Linked DNA regions of Zea mays. Each later gene encodes a partner of the first gene's protein in a complex. Links are inferred from orthologs where the notes say so. Each region holds a gene or a part of one and is shown in the gene's direction. Other genes may lie near its edges.

The links.
Region 2: Probable mediator of RNA polymerase II transcription subunit 19b (region 1) and mediator of RNA polymerase II transcription subunit 8 share a complex: the UniProt entries of both Arabidopsis thaliana proteins name them as parts of the mediator complex. The link is inferred for Zea mays from reciprocal best matches to the Arabidopsis thaliana genes AT5G19480 and MED8.
Region 3: Probable mediator of RNA polymerase II transcription subunit 19b (region 1) and Mediator of RNA polymerase II transcription subunit 33A share a complex: the UniProt entries of both Arabidopsis thaliana proteins name them as parts of the mediator complex. The link is inferred for Zea mays from reciprocal best matches to the Arabidopsis thaliana genes AT5G19480 and RFR1.
Region 4: Probable mediator of RNA polymerase II transcription subunit 19b (region 1) and Mediator of RNA polymerase II transcription subunit 21 share a complex: the UniProt entries of both Arabidopsis thaliana proteins name them as parts of the mediator complex. The link is inferred for Zea mays from reciprocal best matches to the Arabidopsis thaliana genes AT5G19480 and MED21.
Region 5: Probable mediator of RNA polymerase II transcription subunit 19b (region 1) and Mediator of RNA polymerase II transcription subunit 23 share a complex: the UniProt entries of both Arabidopsis thaliana proteins name them as parts of the mediator complex. The link is inferred for Zea mays from reciprocal best matches to the Arabidopsis thaliana genes AT5G19480 and AT1G23230.
Region 6: Probable mediator of RNA polymerase II transcription subunit 19b (region 1) and Probable mediator of RNA polymerase II transcription subunit 26b share a complex: the UniProt entries of both Arabidopsis thaliana proteins name them as parts of the mediator complex. The link is inferred for Zea mays from reciprocal best matches to the Arabidopsis thaliana genes AT5G19480 and AT5G05140.
Region 7: Probable mediator of RNA polymerase II transcription subunit 19b (region 1) and uncharacterized protein LOC100216950 share a complex: the UniProt entries of both Arabidopsis thaliana proteins name them as parts of the mediator complex. The link is inferred for Zea mays from reciprocal best matches to the Arabidopsis thaliana genes AT5G19480 and SFR6.

What each region holds. Positions count from the first base shown.
Region 1 is NC_050096.1:177,740,554-177,744,053, forward strand, and holds part of Probable mediator of RNA polymerase II transcription subunit 19b, read left to right. Parts: intron 1-548; coding exon 549-835; intron 836-921; coding exon 922-1,116; intron 1,117-1,208; coding exon 1,209-1,268; intron 1,269-1,362; coding exon of another isoform or gene 1,363-1,407; exon of another isoform or gene 1,408-1,648; intron 1,649-2,760; exon of another isoform or gene 2,761-3,500. UniProt on the Arabidopsis thaliana protein: Component of the Mediator complex, a coactivator involved in the regulated transcription of nearly all RNA polymerase II-dependent genes.
Region 2 is NC_050102.1:151,801,048-151,805,316, reverse strand, and holds the start of mediator of RNA polymerase II transcription subunit 8, read left to right. Parts: upstream 1-1,469; 5' UTR 1,470-1,603; coding exon 1,604-1,842; intron 1,843-1,995; coding exon 1,996-2,120; intron 2,121-3,102; coding exon 3,103-3,227; intron 3,228-3,329; coding exon 3,330-3,513; intron 3,514-3,645; coding exon 3,646-3,750; intron 3,751-4,067; coding exon 4,068-4,135; intron 4,136-4,269. UniProt on the Arabidopsis thaliana protein: Component of the Mediator complex, a coactivator involved in the regulated transcription of nearly all RNA polymerase II-dependent genes.
Region 3 is NC_050097.1:165,231,155-165,234,105, reverse strand, and holds part of Mediator of RNA polymerase II transcription subunit 33A, read left to right. Parts: coding exon 1-302; intron 303-414; coding exon 415-506; intron 507-596; coding exon 597-936; intron 937-1,047; coding exon 1,048-1,258; intron 1,259-1,635; coding exon 1,636-1,750; intron 1,751-2,724; coding exon 2,725-2,886; intron 2,887-2,951. UniProt on the Arabidopsis thaliana protein: Component of the Mediator complex, a coactivator involved in the regulated transcription of nearly all RNA polymerase II-dependent genes.
Region 4 is NC_050099.1:37,999,011-38,002,606, forward strand, and holds Mediator of RNA polymerase II transcription subunit 21, read left to right. Parts: upstream 1-1,348; coding exon 1,349-1,642; intron 1,643-2,285; coding exon 2,286-2,357; intron 2,358-2,454; coding exon 2,455-2,506; intron 2,507-2,577; coding exon 2,578-2,654; 3' UTR 2,655-2,664; intron 2,665-2,838; exon of another isoform or gene 2,839-2,841; 3' UTR 2,842-3,096; downstream 3,097-3,596. Other genes in the region: putative X8 domain containing family protein isoform 1 precursor, read right to left, coding at 3,370-3,395, 3,491-3,596. UniProt on the Arabidopsis thaliana protein: Component of the Mediator complex, a coactivator involved in the regulated transcription of nearly all RNA polymerase II-dependent genes.
Region 5 is NC_050100.1:213,173,174-213,176,673, reverse strand, and holds part of Mediator of RNA polymerase II transcription subunit 23, read left to right. Parts: intron 1-28; coding exon 29-242; intron 243-549; coding exon 550-836; intron 837-1,195; coding exon 1,196-1,279; intron 1,280-1,474; coding exon 1,475-1,569; intron 1,570-2,330; coding exon 2,331-2,493; intron 2,494-2,576; coding exon 2,577-2,822; intron 2,823-3,297; coding exon 3,298-3,465; intron 3,466-3,500. UniProt on the Arabidopsis thaliana protein: Component of the Mediator complex, a coactivator involved in the regulated transcription of nearly all RNA polymerase II-dependent genes.
Region 6 is NC_050103.1:106,778,687-106,782,934, forward strand, and holds the start of Probable mediator of RNA polymerase II transcription subunit 26b, read left to right. Parts: upstream 1-1,448; 5' UTR 1,449-2,206; coding exon 2,207-2,803; intron 2,804-2,890; coding exon 2,891-2,959; intron 2,960-3,057; coding exon 3,058-3,140; intron 3,141-3,341; coding exon 3,342-3,397; intron 3,398-3,482; coding exon 3,483-3,604; intron 3,605-3,704; coding exon 3,705-3,732; intron 3,733-3,825; coding exon 3,826-4,208; intron 4,209-4,248. UniProt on the Arabidopsis thaliana protein: Component of the Mediator complex, a coactivator involved in the regulated transcription of nearly all RNA polymerase II-dependent genes.
Region 7 is NC_050096.1:232,623,766-232,628,052, reverse strand, and holds the start of uncharacterized protein LOC100216950, read left to right. Parts: upstream 1-1,487; coding exon 1,488-1,523; intron 1,524-1,880; coding exon 1,881-2,055; intron 2,056-2,212; coding exon 2,213-2,736; intron 2,737-3,248; coding exon 3,249-3,425; intron 3,426-3,772; coding exon 3,773-4,153; intron 4,154-4,287. UniProt on the Arabidopsis thaliana protein: Component of the Mediator complex, a coactivator involved in the regulated transcription of nearly all RNA polymerase II-dependent genes.

The sequences.
Region 1 (3,500 bases):
CTGTTTGATGGAAGCAGGTAAGTATTATTTGTGATCCCTATGTTTCCCAGTTCCCCTTATATGCCAATTATTCAGTATGCAAATCTGAAATGCTAAATCCTAATTCATGTGGGCACAAAGCAACAGAGTTATATTAGTATCACAGCTTGCTTGATTATTAGTTATCGTCATTAGTTTGCAAAAAAATTAGTAATAATTATATGCTTGGAATTTTAAATACAAACTTCTGGTGCTGATTCTTTTGCGGTTTTGCCAGTTGAGGCCAGTATGTCTTGTAGTCAGCTGTTTACTACAGTTCTTTTTACAATGGCAAAATTTTAACTGTTTTATTTACTTATTTACAGTTCACAATGCGTTAGTTGGAACTTGGACGGTTAATATTTTGTGTCATAGTGCACAAAGTTGTTTTATGAGCCGCATTACTGCATCTAATGTCTATTGTATGCTAGAATAAATTTTGTATCATAGATATATCAGTGCACCTATCTTTTCTGAAACCTTATTTGTCTGCTATGTGGTTGATTGATAATACGATCTCTGTATTTCAGGACCAAGGGAGCTCACTGGTGCTGTTGATTTGATCAGCCACTACAAACTGCTGCCACACCATGATTTCTTTTGCAAGAAACCTTTGCCGCTGGCAATATCAGATACACATTATCTTCACAATGTTGTGGGAGACACTGAAATTCGCAAAGGAGAAGGAATGGAGTTAGATCAACTTGTTCATAATGCATATCTGAGGGATAAACCTGCTTATATTCAGCCCTTTGATATGGAAACTCTGGGGCAAGCGTTCCAACTTCGAGAAACAGCTCTTGTGGATTTGCCTTCTGTAAGATCCTTTCTAGTATCTCACTTCTCTTATGACATTGTTAGATTTGCTCATTGTACTGTTTATAACATATACCATATCAACAGACTGAAAAAGGTATACCGACTATTTCGGGTAAACCAAAAAGTGAGTCCAAGGACAAAGAGAAGAAGCATAAAAGGCACAAAGACAAAGACAAGGAACACAAGAAGCACAAACATCGGCATAAGGATCGGAGTAAGGACAAAGATAAAGACAAAGACAAGGATAAGAAAAAAGATAAAAGTGGCCATCATGAAAAGGTTAGTCCATTTTCTGTATGGTCAAAAACTCTGAATAGCTTCATTTTAAACCATATATACCTTTGATGGACAATGCTCACCATTTGTATCAGAAGAGGAAGCATGAGGGAACAGAAGATTCAGTAGATGTGCATAAGCACAAGAAGAGTAAGGTAGCACACTGCTATTATTTTCTTGCTGATACAATAGCTTTCATAGAGAAAATTTGCCTCTTTGTTTTTAACATGGATGGTCAACTTACGGCAGCACAAGAGCTCCAAAACCGATGAGATGGGGAATGGAGTTAGTTAACACTTCCTAGCTCTACCTCCAATCCTTGTAATTTGCTGTTAAAACTTAAAAGGAGACAGACGGTCTCTGCTATCAAAACCCTGTGCAGAATAGTGGTACGCTTCTTTACTTCCCTTTTAGATTCAGTTTGCTTTTCGTGTAACTTTTTTAGATTCTGTTATTCCGTGGTATCTGCCTTGGATAGCTTGTCTTATTTGGGTGTTTTTTGTCTGATGATGCAAATCTTTTAGCTAGAGGTTCATTGTTAACTTGTGTCTTTAGGCATGTTTGGTTGAGCTGTGGCTTTTGAAAAAGCACGTGTGAGCTGTTGGTCATGAAAACGCTGGAGTCTGGCATGTGAAAAAGTCAAAACTGTTTGGTTGAACAGGTGTAGCTTCTGGAGAAACTATTGAGAGGACCCCACATGTCATTCATAGTTCCCCCACTCAACTCTCCCTCTCTCACTAATAAGAGGACTATGCTCGATAGCTTCTTCCTTCCAGTTCGTGCACTGGGAGGGGCGTCGAGGGCCATGCCTGGGGAGGAACTGCCAGCCTACGAGCGTCGGCCTTGCAGCCACGGTCGGCGATGGAGTGCTGCATCTGTGAGGAAGTCAGGATGCACTCGCTCACATGTGGCGGAGGCTCCCCTGCCAAAGGCATGGTCGACCGGTCGGGAGAGGAGAGGACGGGTGCGGAGGGAGGCTTGCACCTATTAAGTTCTCTATGTTGGAGGATAGGGGCGGGGAAAGGAGAGGGCGAGGGGTGGCGTGCGCCCGTCGCTGTCGGTGAGGCCTCCTGGTAGAGGCCATGGACGGGGGAGGTGTGCGCCCGCCGACAAGTCCTTCCAGGTGGAGGTTAGGGGTGGGGCAATTAGAGGAGGGCGGTGGGTGGAGGCGCTGTCCTCCGGCTCTCGCTGGTGAGGCCTCCTAGGCAGAGGTCAGGGGTAGGTGGGGGGAGGATAGGGGCGAGGGGATGTGTTCACACCCATCAGTCGTTGTCGTTGAGCCCTCGGGCTGTGGATGACATGCTGTGGTGGTGGAGGATGTCGAGGACGATGACGTGGTGGAGGCCACACTTTCTTTCTCATGGAGAAAGTAATAGAGAAAAACAAATGAAATGGTACACAACATAACCAGTAGCAGGTGGGTAATTTTCATGAAAAGTTGGAATGAAGACGGGTGAAGTATTAGTTGGAATGAAGACGGGTGAAGTACTAGTCAATAACTTCTTTTGTTTGTGAATTTGGGTGAAAACCAACCCCTGGCTTCTTTGGGAAGCCAAAGCAGGTTGAAAAACCCAACCAATTGGGACCTTAAGCCATTTTAAGAGGCGAAATTCCTATTTTCTAACATTAGTCTCATCTGATTTTCAGCTTCATCTCTACAATATCTAAATATGCAATGGCATTGACAGCTACTCAGATTCTATGTGGGGCTAATTTGGTGACCAGAGAAATGGAGGTGATCCATGGGGTGAATAGCAAGGCCCATGGATCCCCTCCATTTCCCTGGTCACCAAACCAGTAGGGTGTGTTTGGTTTCAGGAATGAGGTGGTCCATCTTCTCATTCACTTTTTTATTTGGTTTGTAGAACCCAACCAATTAGGACCTTAAGCCATTTTAAGAGGCGACATTCCTATGAGCTAACATTAGTCTCATCTGATCTTTAGCTCCATCTCTACAATATCTAAATATGCAATGGCATTGACAGCTACTCAGATTCTATGTGGGGCTGATTTGGTGACCAGGGAAATGGAGGGGATCCATGGGGAGGAATCCCCCTTGCTATTCACCCCATGGACCCCCTCCGTTTCCCTGGTCACCAAACCCGGTAGGCTGTGTTTGGTTTCAGGAATGAGGTGGTCCATCTTCTCATTCCTTTTTTTATTTGGTTTGTGGAATATAATGAGTTGATCCATCGCACCCCATTCCTCACAAGCTAATAATTAGTATATACATGTGGAACGAGTTGATTCCACTGAAATTTATTTTATGAATTCATCATGCATCACCTCATGAACCATAGGGTGACTCCACAAACCAAACTCACCATTAATTGAACTGTTCATTAATTAGTTGCTCGTGCGTTACAACACTTTGTATACATTATATA
Region 2 (4,269 bases), on another chromosome or scaffold:
GATTTACCACTTAAAGTCACCTTGCAGTACTTACAAATGGCTCCATACCATACCATCTTACCATTGACAAGGTGAGTCGGTTCATCAAAGTCATGCCACACTTTAGATCTGAGAGGACACTTACTGGAACTGGTGGCGGCGGTGCTTGTGCCGGTCGGTGTCGGGCTCGTGGATCCTGTGCCCGCTTGACCACCGGTGGCGGCACCAGGGACATCATCATCATTATCGATGTTGATGGCAACACTACTGCCAAATAGGATCCGGGCATCCTCTGCTTTGTTATGATATTCTAGCCGGTGCTCCTCGTCCACAACGGTCGGATGAAGGTCATCGTCCATGCCGTAGACAGATGGCTCCTCGCCGACGACTGGGGTCCCTGGACAGCTACGTGGCACCGACACAAGCGATACCTAGGAGATTCATCACATCCATGGGATTCCAATCAAGATCTAATACACAAGAGAAGGGGATGGAGATTAGGGTTCAGGACATAACCTGCGCAGCCGGAGCACCTTAGTCGCCTTGAGAGCACCACCGCGAGGAGGAACACCTCTGCTAAGAGGATGTCAGGAGCCGAGGATGGGGATTACTCTATTGGGATTCGGGTGTGAGGAAGGGAAGATGATGAGCGAAGAGATGAGGAGAGTATAGATGTCCAAACAAGCCGTCGCTGGTAGCCGTCACCAGTAGCCGTCGGCGGGAGAGGCGAGATTTCGTCGGTCACCAAGGAGCAAGAGGTAGGAGCCACGGGAGAAGGGGAGGGGATTAGGTTTAGGGTTTCGAGCGAGCGAATGCCGGGGGGGTGCGTCATGGGGCAGGGCCGATGTGTGTTATGCGGCGTGGAACGGACAGACGCCGTGTCTGGCTCATTTTCGTGCTGGGTCGGGCCGAGCACGACGTGCCGGCCTCAAAGCCCAAGCACGACACGTCCACCGTGCCGGGCTGTCCCGAGCTCGATGCGCAGCGAGCCGTGCCGGGTTGGTACCAGGCTTCGGATAAATTTGGCTGTCCGGCCAATATAGACATCTATACCTGTTAAACTGCTAAACAAACTTAGCATCATCAGGCATCGGCTACACTATCATTGTAAAGTCCGTTTGCTTGTAGGTTGGCTTTAATTAGCCCCAGCTCCTCTGTGTGAACTAGGAGGCGTACGTGCCATCAAATTCTGTAAAGTTTGAAGCATGCTGCAGGCAGTATACTCGTGAGGATGACACAAAAAACACATATTTAGTGATACCAATTTAATGGTGTAAATACCACCGTCTCTTTTTGTATAAGTATATTAACTCTAAGTTTAGTTAAATAAAAAATAGTTTAATATATGACGACTCTGTATGCTCATCTCATCTAGGTATACATTTTGTTAGGACTTCTCCAAATTTTGAACTCTGCATTATGAACTTTTGGATTCTGGACACATGTTTTGTCGAGTGCAGAGAATTGACTTGACTGTCCCCCGGCCCTCACATGTCAGTCTGAGCCAGACACGCAAACTGGTGGTACCGCCATAACGATCTGAAAACATCCTCCATTAGTCCGCCTCCGGCCACCCCCTTTCATTCCGCCGCAACGCCACCGCCCCCAACGCAAGTTTCCGGCGATGGACCCCGCGGCGGCCGCGCTAGGTGCAGTACCCGCCGCTGGCGCGCCACCTCCGGGCGCAGCCGCAGGGGACCAGCAGGCAGCTCCCCGGGTTGAGCGGCTCAGCGCGGGGGTGCAGCAGCAGTTGAACCTGGAGGGGATGCGCGCGCGCGCGGTGGGGCTGTACAAGGCCATCTCCCGCATCCTCGAGGACTTTGACGTCATCATACGCACCAATCCCAGCGCCTCCCCCAAGTGGTAACTTCATCCCCAGCCCCGCCCCTCTTATTGGCTATCGGCTGATGGCTGGCAGCAGTGGATTCTAGGGTTTAATTAGGATGCCTCTGCTCGTGTGGCGTCGCTGCGCGATTGCTTACTGGTATGGTATGGCTGCCTCTGGGTGAATTGCAGGCAGGACGTGCTCGGGCAGTTCTCGATGGTGAGCATGGAGCTCTTCAACATTGTGGAGGACATTAAGAATGTGTCCAAGGTGTTTGTCGTGTACCCCCGGAATGTCAATGCCGAGAATGCAACAAGTATGCCGTTCTGAGTTTTTTCCCCTTTATGGATATGCATATATCTTTTGTTATCTGTGTCAATTTGGTTATCACGTAATGGTATTTGTTTTCTTAGAAATCATAATTAATATTTAGTTGATCTAACATAGGGGAGTTTAACATCTGTTGGTTATGTTCTAGTTGCATGGTTTACTGATTCAGTCATGAAATAAATCATCTCCAGTTCAGGGACAACAATTTCCAAAGACATTAAGAGTTCTTTGCCCTTGTTTGTAAAAGTTTGGTTGGTTCAATCAAGACATGAACAACAACCTCTCTGAAAGATTATCAATGGAAGCATGTAATTTGGGAAGAAATTATCTGATATGAAAATTTGCTCAGTTTATGTGTTGAAGTTTTGCTATGTAACCAACTGTATTGAGTCCAAAGGAATCCATCAAACATTTTCCCTTATTTGACCCAACACTAAATAGTCTTTCGTTGTTCATGGTCCAGTATTGGTGAACACCTAATGAGATTATGATTTTCAACACATGATGAGATTATACGATTCATTTATGCTTCCATATATTTTTAGAAAAAAACCCTATGATTTTGTTTCTAAAGTAAGGATGAATGATGACTACAAGTATGACCAGTTGGGCTAATACTTTGCTGTGCCGTTTCTTTGGGGTCTTCTCACAAGTTTTATTACACATGAAGATTCAATCTAAGATTTTTCTTACTGTCAACTGATGTTTATTTCCAGTTGTCCACTAATCAAAATTCTGAATTAGGTTTCAGACTTTTGAAGTTTTCTACTAGCCATGGCCTTAATTTCATGGCAAGCTATTCTGAGATAAATAAACACAGTGCAAATGACCCAACAAAAATGTATTGGAAATGGTCATTCTAATTGTTCTGATGCATTGTCATCTAGTGTTCCCATTTTGCATACTATCAATGGTTTGTACAGTTATTTATTATTAGAGTTGCAGTATAATCCTTATGAATATTGCAGTACTACCTGTAATGCTGTCGTCAAAACTGCTGCCTGAGATGGAAGTTGAGGAAACTACTAAGAGAGAGCAACTATTGTCTGGAATAACTAATCTACCTGTGCCTACACAGATTGAAAAATTAAAGGTGACCAATTTAGTATGAAAAATGAAAACCTATAGCATGTGTTGCTAGCTTGATTTATCGGCTATCTATTAATTAGAATGAACCTGGTACCATCCCTTTCAGGTTAGAATAGACATGATTGGGAGTGCATGCGAAACTGCTGAGAAAGTAATTGCAGAATGCCGTAAGAGCTATGGGCTGGGAAGCCGTCAGGGGACAAATCTTGGTCCTACATTGGACAAAGCACAAGCTGCAAAGATACAGGAGCAGGAAGGCCTACTTAGAGCAGCAGTAAATTATGGTGAAGGTGAAAGGCATAGTGCTTGGTCAATATTAATAAAAAATGCAATTAGATTTCCAAAATAAAGAGTCCTTTTTACTTCTATTTTGTGTTACAATTTCAATACTTATAGCCTTACTAAAATTATCTGAATGCCAGGATTACGGGTACCTGGAGATCAGAGGCATCCACAATCTCTTCCTATCCATCTGATAGAAGTGCTTCCTTTAGGAGACGGTGCACAAAATTTTGGTGATAGTTCTGGTATGTAGATTTTCTTGTGTATCTAAACTCTCTTAATGAACCTCTCCTCGTTTTGAGTTTTAACATCTGTCGATTGTCTCATTTTCATGCGCTATAGACCGAACTCCTATTGTGCTAGGATTAGTGTTTATCCTCAATTGCTAAAATCACGACCATTTGCATTGAGATATGTGCTGTAAAAGTTCCTTATATGTTTAACATTTGCCATATTAATGGGAGATTTGTGCCGTAGAAGTTCCTTGTATGCTTAACTCTTTGGCATTTGCATTGGAGATGTATTTGACAAATGCACATCTAATTTCTATTTGTATTTGCAGGTAGTTATCCCAAAAATATGTCAACATTTGCACCTAATAGTGTCAACAGCCAGGGAAATCAGATTCAGGTTTCTGTTATAACTGAGTTATTATTATGATATTAGAAAGGGTCTATCTTCTATTGTTATCACTCTTTTGAATTGAAAACCTCTTTGGTTCATTCTGTTTTTATGACATCAGTCATCTTCCCATGGTGTTGATA
Region 3 (2,951 bases), on another chromosome or scaffold:
CTGGGGGGCATTTACTAACCGGTTGCACTTGCTTGCAACAAACTCATCTACCTTGCAAAATTCAGCAATATCCTTGGAACCATTTCAGCATTTGATTCTAGGTGATTGTGATGCATATGGTGAAACTAAACATAATGTGCATAAAAGATTCCACCAAATAGTGGCTTCTAACCCTCTATCTTCACCAAATGGACGATGTCTTGGTGCTAGCTATTCTGCACTATGGATTCCTATTGATATGTATCTTGAGGATTGTCTCGATTGTTCAATTGCTGCAACAAATTCTATTGAGATTTTAAGTGGTAATGTCATTCATCAATAGAAACGAATTCATAGGTTACCTTGAAGGATGGATCCATTTCCTTTTTTTTTTTGCTTTGGGTTGCTGCTAATCTAAATGAGTGGAAATTGTAGGTTTGGTCAAGGCTCTTCAAGCAGTCAATAGGTCGACTTGGCATGATGCTTTCTTGGCCCTCTGGGTAGCTTCACTTCGCCTTGTACAAAGAGTGAGTCTTCGATCTTCACTACAGTTATTCAGATTTGAGACAACATTATAATATTTCACATCCTAATCTTTGGTCGTTTGAAACAAGCAGGAAAGAGAACCAATTGAAGGTCCTGTACCTCACCTAGACACCCGGCTGTGCATGTTGTTGTCTATCACAACACTTGCGATTGCTGACATAATTATGGAAGCAGATTCACTTTGCAATGAAACAGAACTCAACAGTCATGTGAATGAGAAGAAAGCAATTGGTAATCTACGCAATGAATTGATGCTAAGCTTACAGATACTTGGTGATTATGAAAGCTTGCTGGTTCCTCCTTCATGTGTCATCCCAGCAGCTAATCAAGCTGCTACTAAAGCTGCAATGTTCATTTCTGGAATCAGTATAAACAATGGCTACATGGATAATGTCAATGGGATGAACTATAGTATGTGGCTTCTCTTAAGATATTTTTTTTTACACATATAATTGACGTTCTAGATTGACCTTCTAGTGGATGTAAGGTAGTCTTAATATAAATCATGTTTTAATTTGTCAGCTGGAAATATGCGACATTTGATTGTGGAGTCATGTATCTCAAGGCAGTTGCTGGATACATCAGCTTACTATTGGCCTGGTTATATCATGAATCATGCCAACTCTACATCTCATACACTCCCTAGTCAACTTGCTGGTTGGTCATCCTTCATGAAGGGTGCACCACTGACTCAACCACTGGTTAATATGTTGGTATCAACTCCTGCTTCCAGGTGTGTACCCCCCTGTTTTATATATCAGCAGCGCTGTTCCCTGATTCATATCAAAAAAAAGTTTGATCATAATCAGCATAAGTCTTGCCTTATGGCTTTGTAATTGGTTTTTTTGTCTCTCCTTTAATAGTAAGGCATGTAGCTCTCCTGCCTTGTTCGAAAAAGGGGGGAAAGGCATGTAAATTCTATGTTTGTTTCCTCCAAAAAGAAACGAAAAAATCAAAATAAGAACTTGCATTGTAGAATGGTGTACATTAAAAAGATTGCACTAGAGCTGAGCTATTAATATTCCTATATCTCAATATTACCATATTTGTTAATTCTCGTACATCATTATGGTAATAAACACTGAATGAAGCTCATAAACTTGATGGAAGCTTGGCAGAGGTCGACAAGTTATTTGAAGTTGCAGTTGATGGGTCAGATGACGACAGCATTTCAGCTGCCACTGTTTTATGTGGAGCCACCCTTTTACGAGGTTGGAATTTTCAGGTTAGTAGGCTGCAATTTCTAGTGTTGGCTCTCCCTGAGAGATGAGCAATTCTATTAAGTTGCATGCACCAACCAGTTCAATCCAAAAGCTTAAGCTGATAGGAGGCGATTATGCACCAATCAGTTCAACCCAAAAGCTTAAGCTGATAGGAGACGGTGCACAATTGACTTCTATTATATTCCAACATTCTCCCTCACGTCGACCTCTCTTAGGTCTCATGCGTGGAATATGAGCGAACATTAATTATTTTATTTAATTGCGCTAGCCAAGATTTGAACTCATGACTCCTGGCTCTGATACCATATTAAGTTGCATGCACCAACCAGTTCAATTCAAAAGCTTAAGCTAATAGAAGGAGGACAACCCACTTATATTATATTCCAACAAAATCACTTATACTCCAACACCCCCCCCCCTCACATGGAGGCTTCCTCTGGCCTTAGACGTAGAATGGAGCAAGCACCATTATTTTATTTAATTGTGAAATTGTTCGCCTTTCCTATCAGCTTAACATTTTGGGTTGTATTTGTTGGTGCATGCAACTCAATATGGTACCATAGACAAAGATCTCGAGCTCGAATCCTGGTCAACAATTAAATAAAATAATTATCGCTTGCTCTTATTCCATGTCATTCCATGTCTGAGAGCCCCCCTCCACATGAGGGGAAGTGTTGGAGTATAAGAAAATTGTAGAGTGTTGGAGTCTAAATGGATTGCCCAGAGCGTTGGAGTATAAGTGAAATGTCACCTCTCCCCATCAAGTTAAGCTTTTGAGTTGTATCGGTTAGTGCATGCAACTCAATATTTAGGTCTATAGTATGACTAATACTGACCCTATCACCGATTAATTTCAAAAAATAACTATGTGCATGGTAGCATGCATTGCCTGTTTTTATTTTACTCGAGAATCAATGTAACATCTCGCTGTCCTGAGATAATTAATAGTCAAATGCTGTGGTTTCCTGCCTTGTAGGAGCATACAGTTCGGTTAGTTGTTAAACTGCTCTCACCATCTGATCCAATTGATAATTCTGGAAGAGAGAGCCAATTGATAAAGCTTGGTCCAATGCTCAATGTTATTCTTTCAGGAATATCGGCCGTGGACTATGCTCCAATCTTCTCGTTCCATGGCCTGGTATGGTTAGCAACTTAGCATAACCACCTACAATCCTACATTGATTTCCACTCAGAAGTCTATAT
Region 4 (3,596 bases), on another chromosome or scaffold:
TGAAGCCGGATCTGTCGCCCGATGTCGGACGACTTTGTTGTTCCTGTCCACTTTGAAGTTGGCCAAGAACCTCGCTTTTGCCTCCTGGATCATCTGCTCCTTGTGCTCCTCGAACTGGAGCTGTTCGTCAGCCGGCAAGGTCTCCTAAGTCGGCTCTATGATGTTGCTTGGGGAAATATTAGAGCTATCTCTTGAACCGGCCATTGAGGGCCGATTTGATGCGTCTATATTTGTGTCCCCAGCGGAGTCGCCAAAAAGTATGTTGACACCTTTTTGGAGGCGCCAATCACTTAAAAAAACCAGCGGCGGTGCTCTCTGGTCAGGCGCGGACGGTCCGCGGCACAGGACCGGACGGTCCGCGACTTGGCGCGAGGCGGTGGTGCTCTCTGGTCAGGCGCGGACGGTCCGCGACACAGGGCCGGACGGTCCGCGACCTGGCGCAGGAGCTAAGGTTCCCTGCCTGACGGCCGGATGGTCCGCGCCCTAGGGCCGGACGGTCCGCGCGTGCGCAGGGGCGGCGGGAGATCGCCGGCGGCGCCTGGATCTCGCTCCCGGGAGGGACCCCGTCGGGGAGGAGAGATCCTAGGTGGTGTCTAGGCTCGGGTAGACTGACCTAGACTTCTCTAATCGACGTAGAGTCGAGGAGAGGCGGAAGATTTGGGGATCGAGAGGCTAAACTAGAACTAGACTAGAACTACTCCTAATTGTACAGGAAATAAATGTGAAATATAAGTTGTATTGATTCGATTGATGATTACAAATCGGCCGTATACCTCTCTATTTATAGAGGAGGGGGCTGGACCCTTTACAAACTAATTTCCGAGCTTTTCCCGCGATTTTAGCTAACAAACATAGCACAAAACTCGGAACCCTAATTTACTCTGCGCACGCACGGACCGTCCGGCCCACAGGCGCGGACTGTCCGGACCGCGGACTGTCCGGCCTCCGTCCGCGCTCCTTTTGGTGCCAAACAATTTATAATTTTGTCACTCTCAGTTTTGACTTTATTATATTATCCCATATCTATAACTGATAGAATCATCTGTGTCTATAATTTAGGGTCCGACGTCATATTAATGAAGCCTATAAATGACAATGGTAAAATTGCCGATGGCTCAGCATTCTGCAAATGTGTGGTGACCGGAAGACTTGGTGGTATCCCAGGAATATGAGCGAGCATCTTTTGAATACCGGCACATACATTTTTTAGATCCGGCCTGGTCCATGCTACGTGGGCTGGATCCTGCAGACCCATTCCTGGATGAAATCGGCCTGCTACAATAAAGCCGCCGTCCTGCAAGTCTGGGACGGAGGAAGGAGAAGAGGGAGAGAGTGGTGGGGATTCGGCATGGACATCATCACGCAGCTGCAGGACCAGCTCGACGAGATGGCCGTGCTGGCCGTCAACACCTTCGGCACGCTGCAGAGGGACGCGCCGCCGGACCGCCTCTCCAGCAGCTACCCTGACCCGCTCAACCCCAACCCTAAGCCCGAGGACGACTCCAAACCCCAGGTCCAGGCCCAGCCCGGCGCGCCGCCGCCGCCACCGGCGCAGGCGCAGGCGCAGGCGCAGCCGCCCGCGCCTGACCTCACCGAGCAACCCAAGGCTATGAGCCGCGCCCTCGTCCTCGCGGCCAAGAAGGTAGGTACCCTGCCCCACTTCTCTTCTCGGTGTCCCCATCTTCTGGACCAAATGCCCGCCCGGTGATTCCAAAATATCTTTGTGTGGTTAAGTAGAAAGTTTCGGCTCGCTTCGTAGTTTTACTCGTAAGTCTGATGCTGCGAATAAGTGAAGGACCAACTGTTTAATTTTTGCTTGCTTGCCCGCGTTATGTGGAGACAAACAATGAAACCGTGTTGCCACTTACTAGTCTTCATATCTTGCTCCATTGCATAAGATAAGATGTTTATCCCAACAGTGTACAGAACAATCTTCATCTCTTGCTCCATTACATAAGATAAGATGTTTATCCCAACAATGTACATAACGTAGAGTCTTCATCTCTTGCTCCATTTCATAAGATAAGATGTTTATCCCAACAACAGCGTACAGACGTAGAATCTTCATCTCTTGCTCCATTTCCTAAGATAAGATGTTTATCCCAACAACAGCGTACAGACGTAGAGTGATGCATACGGGAGGGAGGGAGTGAGGGAGATCACTTTGTGTTAACCATGGTTGAAAACTTGAAATGTAAAGACTGGCAAACTTTAGTTCAAATTATGCTTGCTGCAGTTCCAACTTTTTCCCCTTAAATGAGGAACAATTATGGCCTTCTATGCAGTTTGATGCACTTGTTGCAGCAGTGCCACTATCATCAGAAGAGGATCAAGTGAAAAGAATCCAAGAGCTACAGGTAGATATCAGACAGTCAGATTAATTCATCGAGCACAGGATGGGCATCTGCCAAACTCCTACTCCAAATAAACTGTATGAAAATCTGAAATTTGCAGGCAGAGAATGAAGTCGTGGGACTGGAGCTCCAGAAGCAACTTGAAGCTGCCGGTAACACGATCCCCACTGTTTCTAGAGTTCTTACTATTATATGTCTAATTACTGATGTCATTGCGTTACAGAAAGGGAGTTGAAGCAGGTTGAGGTGCTGTTTAATGAAGCAACAGACAATTGCATAAATTTTAAGAAGCTAGATTAATTACGTTAATGTAAGTTGAGATGAATTTCTTCCTACAACTTATCAATGCACTGTCAAAGTCAATTTCTCTTTTAATTTGGCTCCAACAGTTACTTCTTGGTTTTGTATGTATTTGGCATCAAGTGTTGGAAACCGATCTAGCTCATAAGATATTGTGTTGACGTAAATCCAATGTCTGCCATAGCAGGTTTGCTGAAAAGAAACTGTTCCTGTGGATGGAGTGTGGAGGATGAATGCCAGTAAGAACTTTATATTCCGTCTTTTCAGATTCTCTACTAGTGAACAATAATTGCACTTAGCTTTTGTGTACTGGCATTCTGATCTGCCGGATTAGGATTGACCTTTGGTTGTAAGGTGCAATGTTTTTAGTATGAACTGACGCTTGAACTGTGGTGGTCTTTTTAATGGATCTGGCACCTGGCTTCCTCTGGGATTTCTTCTATATTTTGGTATTTGTTCAGTACCTGAGACCTTTGACACCTGTTCCTAAACTCCCCTCCAGCCACTGGCCTGGAGTAGAACTGTATTTGGGAAATAAAAGCACGGAAATTCTCTCTACAGTGCTCAGACATGATACTGGTTGGTTCTGCAAGGATACTCCCTGCTCACTCACACAGACACAATAACAAAACAAAGAGAAGGAAAAGATGCATCATTCCCCTACAGCCTTATTCATCGTCCGTTGAGCACAGCAGCAGCAGAGCAGCCCGTCGTGTCAAGCATATTTGCAGGTGCCAAGGCCTGCAAGAGGATCCAATGATCCATCATCCGGTGTCAGCTCCCCCAACACGGTTCACGGGCAATGAGACACTCACAGCAAGCAAGGAAGCACTCACTGGGGTCAGTGATGGTGATTATGCCGGTGCCGTTGAAGAAGCAGTTCCACGAGTTCCTCCCCCGGGCCTGGTAGTAGGCGTTCATGGCCACCGACGCCCGCGACAG
Region 5 (3,500 bases), on another chromosome or scaffold:
ATATTCTGATCATTTCTTCTGCTATCAGGTTGATACCACAAGAAAGATAATTTCATTCCACAAAGAAGACAAAAGCCTTGACGCCAATAATATTGGCCCTCAAAGTATTCTTCTTGATTTCATCAGTAGTAGTCAGACTCTGCGCATTTGGTCTTTCAACACTTCGATTAGAGAACATTTGAACAGTGATCAGCTTCAAAAAGGAAAACAGATTGACGAATGGTGGAAACAGATGATGAAAGGTACTTGCTTACTCTGGAAGCACCATTGTGATTTTGGTATATAGATGACCTTGTAGATCCAGAATTCATGGAAGGAAATTTGACGTCGTAGATAGGCAATATGTCACCAGTTGACCACAGAAAAGAATCTTCAAGGAGAAGAATTCTTGCTCTTTTCAACGCATAGTAATACTAGAGTTTAGAGTTCATTTTGTGCATTTGCAATTTTCTGGAGTGACATTTGTGATTACACAAAATGTTACGCCTTGCATTCTTTTGTGTGTCTGTGATTAATATCAAAGCTACCATTTCTTCCTTCAAATAATAGCTTCTGGTGAGAGGATGATAGACTTTACGAACTTGGACGAACGAGCAACAGGCATGTTCTGGGTTCTCTCCTTCACCATGGCGCAACCAGCTTGTGAAGCAGTAATGAATTGGTTTACGTCAGCTGGAATGGCAGATTTAATTCAAGGGCCTAATATGCAGCCAAGTGAAAGAATAATGATGATGCGTGAAACTTACCCTCTGTCAATGTCATTGCTTTCTGGCTTGTCTATCAATCTTTGTCTGAAGCTTGCTTACCAGCTTGAAGAGACCATATTTCTTGGCCAGGTAGAAACACCAAGCATGAACTGATGATAAGACCTAAGTTTATTCCTTCTATTTGTCTATTTTTTAGTCCATGCTATCCTTTTAGTGTTCATGTGGATCTAAGTAACATGCACTTGTTTCAATATTTACAACAAGGACATGATTTGATATGATTGCAATATCACATGATTCTATCAAAAATAGTTAAATTTGTGTTATGTCTAAATTACCACGTGTTTCCTTGACATTATGTAAAGTGAATATTTATATGTTATGAAATCATTCGTAGTCTTCAGTAAGTAAAATTTTCTAGTAGTATCTATACACCTTGACAACTGTATGTTTGTCAGCAAGTATTGACCCTTTCTTTCTTTTGGTAGGCTGTCCCTAGCATTGCTATGGTGGAAACCTATGTGAGGTTACTGCTTATAGCACCCCATTCATTGTTTCGTCCCCATTTTACGGTAAGTTCTTATGTTATGTGTTGAACTATGCTACTGGTACAGAGCAGCATGTCATTATGCAACCCTGAATATTTATTTTTGTCTGGTTTCTGAATTATGACTTTGTGCAATGTAAAAGTTTCATTTTCAAAACTACATACAAGACACAGTGATGGAAATTCTGATGTCTGCACATTATTTTATTAAACTTTGCAGGCATTAACCCAAAGATCTCCATCTATTTTGAGCAAATCTGGTGTGTCATTGCTCCTACTTGAGATACTAAATTACAGATTGCTGCCTTTGTATAGGTATCTATAATTTACTATGTAATTTCTTCCCTCTTTGTCTGATAGGAAATCCTAATTTATCAAACATATCATATTCCCACCTTTCCATGAATATTTCTTTTTCCCTTGGGTAGGAGGGACACCATGTTTTGCACTTCTTTCACATGAAAATGTGCGAGACCTTGTTTTCCATTTGTTTTTGTTGAAAATTTGCAATCTTTCCTTTAGAACAACAACAAAACCTTTTTTTTTTTTTTGGGAAAACGCAGGAGAACTGCGCCTCAATATATTAAGAAGAAGAGATAAATCCAGATCAAAGAGATCTGGACAAATTACAAGGCCTCCTCATGGGGGCCAGAAACACAGCAAACTGAAAAAATCCATCAAACTAAACAACTCCCTAGTCTCCAGGAATTAGGGCAGCAAGGTATGAAAGACCCTTAGCCCCAGCCATCTCCCAAGACTGCCTCTCCTCCCTGGCTAAATTAATGGACAGATCTAAACTAGGAGTACAACCATCGAAAACACAACTATTACGATGCTTCCAGGTTATCCAAGCTCCTAAGGCCACAAGAGAATTAAGACCTTTACCACGGATACCAGAAGCCAACCCAGAAATCTGCTCCCACCAAGCCATAAAAGAAGAATGCCCAGGCTGGGGAGCCAGTCTCTGAAACCCAAACGGTTTAAGCCTTTTGGTTCAAGAACATTGGGGTAGGCTAATATTCTTTCCTTCTATTAATTATTATTCATAATTTTCTGTGCACCAATGTGTTGTTCAGGTATCATGGTAAAAGCAAGGCGTTGATGTATGATGTCACAAAGATAATATCAATGATTAAGGGTAAACGTGGAGAACATCGTCTTTTTCGATTAGCAGAAAATTTGTGCATGAATTTGATTCTCTCACTGAAAGACTTCTTTTTTGTGAAAAAGGAATTGAAGGTAATGAGTGTACTTTCTTGCCTTTGGAAATCTGACACTCACCAGATCATATTAAAATGAACTTTTACATGTATTTAATCCAGGGCCCGACTGAGTTTACTGAAACTCTAAACCGCATAACAATAATAAGTCTTGCAATCACTATCAAGACGCGTGGAATTGCTGAAGTTGAACACATGATTTATCTTCAACCATTGTTAGAGCAAATTATGGCAACCAGTCAGCATACCTGGTCAGAAAAGACACTGCGTTATTTTCCTCCTCTCATTCGTGATTTTTTAATGGGGAGAGTGGATAAGAGGGGTCTAGCTATCCAAGCATGGCAGCAGGTATTGTTTTTACCTTTAGGACTGGGTGTTTGACTACTTGTATGTTTCCTTCAACACTTCTACTTTCTACCATTTATGTATTCCACATACATTTGGTTAGCTTTTAGTTGCTTGGAACCTAAATTGTTTTCTTCAACATTTCAACCAAGCCATACCTCAATTGCCAGCCCAATATCCTTACGCCAGCAGCCAGCCTAGTTGTCACTCTTCCCTGATCAGACAACTAATTGCGATAAAGTCAATGACTTGAAACCTAATTCAACTAATTGGGTCGGTGGATTTGATAGTCGTTGTCAATGGGCGGGAGGGAGGTTTAAAACTTATCAGATCTCCAAAAATATTTTTTTTTTCATTTTTTTAGTATAGTACTGTTTATTGTGTCCTTAAATTGCTACCACATGTTTATCAGTGAAGTTTTTGGGGCAGGCTGCATCATTCTTTGTCTTTTGTATTGATATATTCCCTTTTTCTTCAGGCAGAAACGACTGTTATTAACCAATGTAATCAGCTGCTCTCACCATCTGCTGAGCCAAACTATGTCATGACTTATTTGAGCCACAGTTTCCCTCAGCATCGTCAATATCTTTGTGCTGGTGCTTGGATGCTGATGAATGGACATCTTGAGATCAACAGTGCAAATCTTGTATGTTTTAATTATTCTTTTATTGTGGATGTCAT
Region 6 (4,248 bases), on another chromosome or scaffold:
GAAGTGAAGTTTTTTTGTTTCCTCTCTCTCTCTCTCTCTATCTATCGATCTATCTTTTTTTTAATATATACTCTTCCATTTCCTTTTTCCTTCCTACTATCTCTGCTGCTACACGAAGCCAGCATATGGTTGCTAGTGAAAAGGACACACGACTGGCCCTTCGGCTACCCCAGCAGCCACTCCAAAATGGAACACCCGCGTAAGTCATACTACTGTAGAAAATTTAAAAAAAATGAAAATAAAAAAAAGAACCTCGAAACAACCCTAGCCAGCCACTGTCCCACACTACTGGTGGGAGACGCTAGATGCGCACGCAGTGCACAGGGGACAAAATACAGAGACGGAATTCCTTCTCAACAAAAAGCATGAAACACATGCCACTTTTGAAATGGGAGTATCTATGCGCGGCGTGGGAATAAGCCAGGATGCTCGGATCAAGATGCTAACACTGCAAAAACAGACGATGCATTTCTTTCGCTGTTTATTATAGTTTCATCAGATTGTTTGGTGTAAGATTTTGATGGCTATAGTATTTTTTTTTCTTTTCCCGAGATTTCCGGAGAGGATTTTTTTCTTCTTTTTCTTTCCATCTCTCTCGCTCTTTTCGTTCAATCTTACTTATTATACCGTCACCCATTCTTATCGTTCTTGTTTTTTTGCGACCATGGGTTATCATCTCATGTATTGCGAAACCTATAGTATAGCATTCGACTCCTCATCTCATGTATTGCAAAGCATCGCGGACCTCTTGTGTCTTACGATTTTGCCACCTTGAGAGCCTGCTCTGTACTAGGTGCAGCGCGTCGCACGACTGTGTTAAAAAACTCGTCTTCCGTCTTTTTTTAAAAAACAAATGCACAACAGTTGCCTACAACGACAAGCATTTTTTTTCAAAAGTTATATTCATGTCTCGTCAGTTGTTTCATATAGAATTACGTCTTTATTGTCTCATTCAACCTATCAACTAGAACAAGTACCACGCACCAAGCTGTATTAAATTCACTACAATAAATTTTTTATTTAACACACATTGTACATGTTCCGACTTTATATGGATTTTTTAAAAAAATTAATGATTAAACATTGAAATACGACATGAAGAAAACAGAATAAAAATATATGATAAAGCTTGTGAGGGCATCCCATCCATTTGACATGACACGCTGTGTGCAGTGCTGAAAATACTTGTGCTCGGTAGTCGGTACGCAAATGACTTTGCAATTATGGCCCGAGAGAGATATGCTTTACCAAATAGTAAATAGTTCAGATTATACGCAACTAAACAATAATCATGATGGAAAACCACCCTGTGACTTTGTGAGTGAGCATCATCAACCTAGCAGCACTGCTCCTCAACACAGAGAGAGAGAGAAGGAAAGAGACCGGAAAGGGCGCCCCCCGACGCCCGAGTCGACCGCAACAAGAATCAGCCACGCCGCGTCTCACCCATCTCCCGTAGCATTTCCGCCATCTCCTGCGGGTTGAGTACGGCCGAGTCCTGCTGCCCTTCGCTCGCTTCTTCTGGTAAATTGCAGTTTGTTACCGCAATTGCAGCTGCTAGTGGTGGCGAGGCATGGGCCATGGGAGAAAGACTAGTTGTTGCTGGTGTTTGGTAGTAGTAGCCGCGTAGGTCTCGTGGGTGTGCGCACCCTGCCTTCCCCGTCCCTATCCGCCCGTCTCATCGTCATCCCCTTCCTGTCTTCAACTTCACCTTCCCTGTGTTTCCTCCCCGCTTCCTTCCGCTCTAGGGGTCAGCCAGGCAGTCCAGATAAGATTTGCTCTGGTTAGGCTACCTCCGCGCCGCGCTGGAACTCCCTCCCGGTGAGGTTGTTGAAACCGACAAGGAACGGGGACGTGGGGCCCGAGGAAGGTCACGCTGCTAGTTTTTTTCCTTCGCGATCGATCCCTTCCGCCTCCGGATTCGCCCTGCTCTTGTTCCTCCGCTGTTTTCTCGATCGGTTGGCTGGTGACTCTGCCCCTGCCCCTGCCCCTGCCCCGGCCCCGATTCGGGGGAATCTGATTCGCCGTTGGGCGGGCGGGAGAGATTGGGTTCTTGGTTCTGGTGCCGGTGCGCGCGGCGTAATTTGGTAGCAGATAGAAGCAGGAAGGGGGAGCATCGGCCCTTGGCTGCGCTGCTGAGAATCGCGGTCGGGGGAGGCTGATCTTGGCGACGGTGGCCCGGCGGGGACCGGTGGCGGCCGCGGCGATGGCCGACGGGCTGGATCGGTGGCGCGGCTTCTTCCGTGGCGCCGGCGCTGGCATCTGCGACGTCATCGAGAACGCCATCCTCGTGGCGGCGGCCGACGCGCCGCGGGACTTCCTGCACCGCCGCGACCGCATCGCTGAGAGGCTCTTCACCGCGCTCCGCCGCGACGCGGCGCCGCCGTCCTTCGGCAGCGCCGCGGCGTCCACCACCCCGGCCACTCCCGTTGAGGAGGACAAGGGCAGCGTGCGCCGCGTCGCCGAGAAGGAGTGCAAGGTCGACAGCAGCAGCAACGGTACCCACGGCGGCGGCGGCCATGGCCATGGCCACGCCGATGAGGACGATGATTCTGACTCTGACGACGAGCGCCTCCGCCGCGCCGCAGCGAGCAACTATGGCCACAACTACGATGATGATGACGAAGATGGCGACCAACAGGAGGAAGATGAGCAGCAGCATGCCGCGGATGATACTGAAGAAGGGGAGGAAGACCACGACGCTGAGGAGCTCGAGGCGCTCACCAATGAGATCGATGAGGAGTCACAGATCGTCGGCGAGGTCCTCCGCATCAAGGAACTCCTCCTGCACAAGGAAGACCATGTACTGGCAGACTGCCTCGTTTCTTCATTTATTTATAAGGTCCTTAAACTTCGAATTCCTCTGAGCTAAATCATGTTGTTCCTGCAGTCGGATGCCACTTTGTTCGATTCACTGAGGAGGCTGCAGTTGATGCAATTGTCCGTCTCTACGCTAAAGGTACAAAATGGATATTGCGTACATATGAGCTATTTGATGTGTTGATCCCTGTTTGCTCTGGCTGTTTGGTTTCTTAATCTTAGGACTGTTCATTGCAGGCTACTGAGATTGGAAGAGCTGTTAATCGGCTGCGGAAACACAACTCACGAGAGATTCGGCACCTCGTGTGCACTCTCATTGAGTAAGTTCCATCTTCATTTCTGTCAATTTTGGTCCCTAGTGCTACTTCTCTGTTGCTTTCAAAGTGCTTAATAGCAGACCAAAATCACTGATCAAATATCAACCAACCAATTGTAGATTAGCTACATAATCATTGGAAGTGCCTTCTTGCTAGCGTTCTTGGAAATGTTGTTGACATATGAGGTTACCTTGTGTGTTTCAGAGGTTGGAAAGTTTTGGTTGATGAATGGGTCAGTACCACAAATGCTGCCCTGACAGGTAACTGAATTGAATTGATCTAACAGTTTCTAAATGAAGACTGGCATCTTAGCTTAATATGGATATTTGTTCTTTGGTGCTGTAGAGAACTCCCCTGGCTCTTCAAATCCTTCTGTTGTGGATGAAGAAGAGGAAGGGCTTCCATCTCCACCTTTGGACGAAGGGGCCTTCTTTGCCACCCAAACCACTTCTATTCAACTCTCTGAGGTACTGATATAGTTAATTCCTGCCATCTGATTGGGATTTGTGTTTAACAACAATCTGACTCTGTGTCTGTTGTTTTTCCTCCCATCTCCCCAACCTAAAGTTCTTTGACGAAATGGATGAAGATGGAAGTGAGTACAGCAATTTAGCAGTTCTTAATTTTCCATGCTTATTGCTTGGTTTTAACATTATGATGATTATTAACGTTGCGCATACGGTGCCAGATTTGAGACATAGTAATGACCCGAGCCTTGGAAACAAGAGGGGTAACAATGGTGGGAGACTTGCAAGCCATTCAACGGTTGCAAGGCAAGATCCACCTCGCTCTTATCCTGGAGTCGTCGAAAGAGTTCAACCCAGGAGGCTAGAACTGGCAAGGCAAGAGCCACCAATGAGGCAAGCGAACCCACAAACCCTCCAAAGTTCAAGTTTGCAAGCCAAACCTCACGGTGCGCTCAACAAGCAGTCTAATAATCCCTCAAGTTATGAATCTGGACCGGGGAGACCAGTAAAGGCAGCTCAACAGAGACCATTTGGTGACATGAAACCTAAACAAACTCGAGAGCATGTTGCTATCGAGAGAAAGCCTATGGCAAGCCAGACAGATGTAAGTACACGCAACTAAGGCACATGTTTTTGACGATGGT
Region 7 (4,287 bases), about 55 Mb from region 1:
TATTAGACTACAGTGTGGATGGTGTTCATACGCTTTCAGTGAATATGGTTCATTTTGATATTGCTATAACCAAATATACATTCATGTCTATCTACTGGCATAGCTTTGGATTTTAAAGTGAATTATAGCATAACACAGATCAATATACTGTTTTCTTCAAATATAGAACTGTTAATGTTCTGCTGCCACAGGCAGTGGTGGATCCAGGAATGGATCAAAGGAGGGGCTGCTAAAAGAAGGTTAGTTTTTTTAGGCTGAACTAAATGATATATCAATGTTTAATATAACAAAGTAACAAGTATAATTCAAATCTTCAAGACACATGTAGACAAAATAAGTAGGTACGAAATCTATAAATACAATACTCAATATATACCGCTCAAGATATCTCCATCAGCTTACTCATCCTCATCTCATATTTCAAACCCCACTCTATAAATAGTGCATTCTACAGTGTAAAACAATGTTTTACACGGTCATATGCACGATCTGCTGGCCATAGCCTCATGAATTACGGTTGCAACGTAAATTTATCTTTCGAGTTCTTATGCCTTAAAAACGTTTCAAAATCTTGTGCTGGCTGCAGCGTGCGCCTTGCGCTGGCCTGCACCTTGTGCTGGCTGCTGGGCGCCTACACGCTGCTAGCTGCTGCAGGTGTGTCGGCCATGCACGCTGGTCCGTGGCCGTGTCCTGCGTGGCGGCGTGGGTGCACAGTGCGCTGCCCGTCAGGCTTTGTGATGCGGCACTGGCACTACTGCAGTGTTATGGCACGGATGGGGGCCAGGCGCGCGTGTGTGCGGCACTACTGTTTGGTGCTGGTGTGCTGTGGCGACATGGCTGCGTGGACGAGATCGGGTGCGGGTGCTAGATGCCACGGTTAGATGGAAGGCTGTTACCTATTTTTGTTGGATTTTATGGACTAAAATTATGATATGATATAAGTATTATTGGACCGGGGCCGCCCCTGGCCACAAGTATGTGTAAATTGTACATTTTAATGGGCATTTACAACAGTGGCATTTTTTTATTTTAACCGCAAAATGATGCTAGAAACTTTTCCAGTGGCTGTTTGCCTTTGGGTTGAAAATCATTGGCATCTCAGCAGGTGTCTCTAAATTAATTGACTGGCTGGACAGCTGATTCATATGATATTTTGGGTTGTGATGAGTTAATATGACAGTTGGAATTTTGGGTGATATTTCATATTTTATACCTTTTTGGCTTCAATGTTTGATTTACTACCTTTCTTCCTTTTATGATTAATGAATGTACAATTGTACATGCAGAACCTTGATAGGATTAAGTGTAGGTTGTTGGAAGGAACAAATGCCCAAGATGTACGGGCACTTGTGTTGGACATGCAAGCAAGATTACTTCTGGATATGCTAGGCAAAGGAATCGAGTCTGCCCTTACAAATCCATCAACTCTGCTACCTGAGCCCTGGCAAGCTTCCAGTGATATGTTATCCAGCATCGATGCTGACAAAATGACTGTTGAGCCAGCTCTGCTTCCAAACATCCAGGTCAAGCTGTCTCCTTTATGCAAGTTGTTTCTATTTCATAGCCATGGAACTTAAATTCAGCTATCTAACATTCTTTCTTTCTTTTTACTGACTTTATTCTTTTAAGACTTGCTACTGAGCCGTTTTTTTTCATTTTATAAAGTAGTGAGCAGTATATTGGTATGCTAGATCACTTCCATGTAAACGGTACTTTAGTTATGTTGGTGAACTCATGTGCAATGTCTGTTATCCTTTGCCAAAACTGGTGTATTACAGCCTTTTAATGTTGAGTATTGTATAAATTTCAGCACAGGTTATCTGCATAGGGATTCTTTATGTTACTAGGAAATAGCTTATTTTATTTGCATTCAAATGCAGGGTTACGTTGATGCTGTTCTTGATTTAGCATCACATTTCATAACTCGCTTGCGGCGTTATGCGAGTTTCTGTCGAACTCTGGCGAGCCATGTGGGGCCATCTTCTACCACAGGCACTTCTAGAAATATGGTTACAAGTCCAACAAACAGTTCTCCTTCGCCATCAAATAATCAAGGTTAGCTATGCCTGCTAGCTTGCTAAATCTTGTGTTTTTCTCTTGTTTGTGCGCAAAAAAGTACATCCAAACCTTATGTTTTCTTCATTGCAAATTTGAGGCTTAAAGTGTTGTTTATTTAGTGCTGCTAGCATCTTGATGCTCCTTCAAATTTCAGGTAATCAAGGGGGATCAACATCTGCAACAGGGAACTCACAAATGCAGGAGTGGGTCCAAGGTGCAATTGCTAAGATTAGTAACAATTCTGATGGTGCTGCCACTGCAACACAGAATCCAATGAGCACGAGGACATCATTTATGCCCATCAGCATTAATACGGGCACTTTCCCTGGCACACCTGCTGTGAGACTTATTGGGGATTGCCATTTTCTTCATAGATTATGTCAATTACTGCTATTTTGTCTGCTTTTCCGAAGAAGGCAATCACCAAGGTTACTTGCCAGTTCGCAAAAAAATCAAGATTCTGCCATGCAGAAAATACAACACATGATGAATGCTAAGACAGAAGATAACAGTTCGACAGTAAGATCTGGTCTAGGGGCTGCCAAAGTAGAAGAAGGTCACTCTGCGCGTGGTGGACAATTTGTTCTTGGTGGTGCAAAGGGTCCTGAAGAAAATCCAATTGGCAAATCTGTTAGAATAGGTTCTGGCAACGCTGGGCAAGGTTATACTTCAGATGAGGTGATTATCAAATTCTTGACAAGATATAGTATTTTTTACAGAGTTTAATATTGAGTTATACTAAGGAAACTTTGGGAGTTAGTGCTACCAAACTGGGACTGATCGTTGGCATTTGAACTTTGGGAGTTAGTGTGAAGAAGCTGACGATGTGCCAAATGCGCTGGAAAACTGGTGACCTGAAGTCCTGAACATAGTGATTAGTTTGGAAACAACTATGTTTTGGCTCCTGCATTTCTTTGGAAATGTCTAGCTTTGGTTGCTATGGGAGAACACATGTCGATATAGCCATCATAGAGTGCAATTGCGTATGTAGGTTATTTTGGACCCTTGATTTAAGCAGTTTAAAATTTTGTCCAGCCTAGCATGAACAACAGTTTGATTGCATATGTCGTTCATGATCTCTATTGAGTGATTTATCAGATGCTTTACAGATCTGTCTTTCTATTCTTTGGAAGATTTCTTTTTGTCTAGTTTATCTAATTATCTCTGTAATTTTATTTCATTGTTGGTAGGTCAAGGTCCTTTTTCTTATACTGGTTGACCTATGTCGAAGGACATCTACCTTGCCGCATCCATTGCCTGCCTCTCAGGTTGGTTCCAGTAGCATTATCATAAGGCTGCACTACATTGACGGCAACTACACAGTGCTCCCTGAGGTAGTGGAAGCGTCTCTTGGTCCCCATATGCAGGTACTAGTCAAATTCTCATGGAAGTTTCTAATGGTCGCTTTCGTACTATTTGTGGCCATTTTGAGCTACCAACATCTATCAATTATAGGAGTAGAAGTTGATTTTCAAGTGCACGACTCAGAGATATTGCAAGTCTTCCTGTTTCGAACTGAATTCAGGACGACCACCTTTAAATGTTGATTAGGATTCTCTTAGCAGAAGTTATCTTTTTTGTATTAGCCATTTTTTATAGAAACATGCACTATTACTGCCAGGGCCTTAGACATGGCATTTTGAGTGATCCCTCGATGCCTACTTCCCCATCTATTTTCAATATTTCATTGTTTCCTATGTCTGTAACTCTGTAGAATATGCCTCGTCCACGAGGAGCTGATGCTGCTGGACTTCTACTTCGAGAATTAGAACTGCAACCTCCTGCGGAAGAATGGCATAGACGCAACATGTTTGGTGGACCCTGGTCAGAACCAGATGATTTTGGTCCATTGGACAATATGCCTCGTCTAAAAATTAGTGGTTCCATCAACTCTCATTTGTCTGACATGGAAGTGGATGCTGTCAGTTCCATTGGGATTGATCTTTGGCCAAGAAAGCGTAGGTTATCTGAAAGAGATGCTGCATTTGGTCTGAAAACATCTGTAGGTCTTGGAGGTTATCTAGGTGTCATGGGATCTCGAAGAGATGTTGTCACGGCTGTGTGGAGAACAGGTCTCGATGGTGATTGGTACAAGGTGAGTATGGTTATGGTCGCTTTACCTTTTGCTGTCAAGTCTGGGTTCATAGTTCCTTGACGAGTTCTTTATTAGAGAATCCTGGTTACTCCCCTAATATACTTCGATGCCTAAATTTGTTGTTTCTTCTTTCT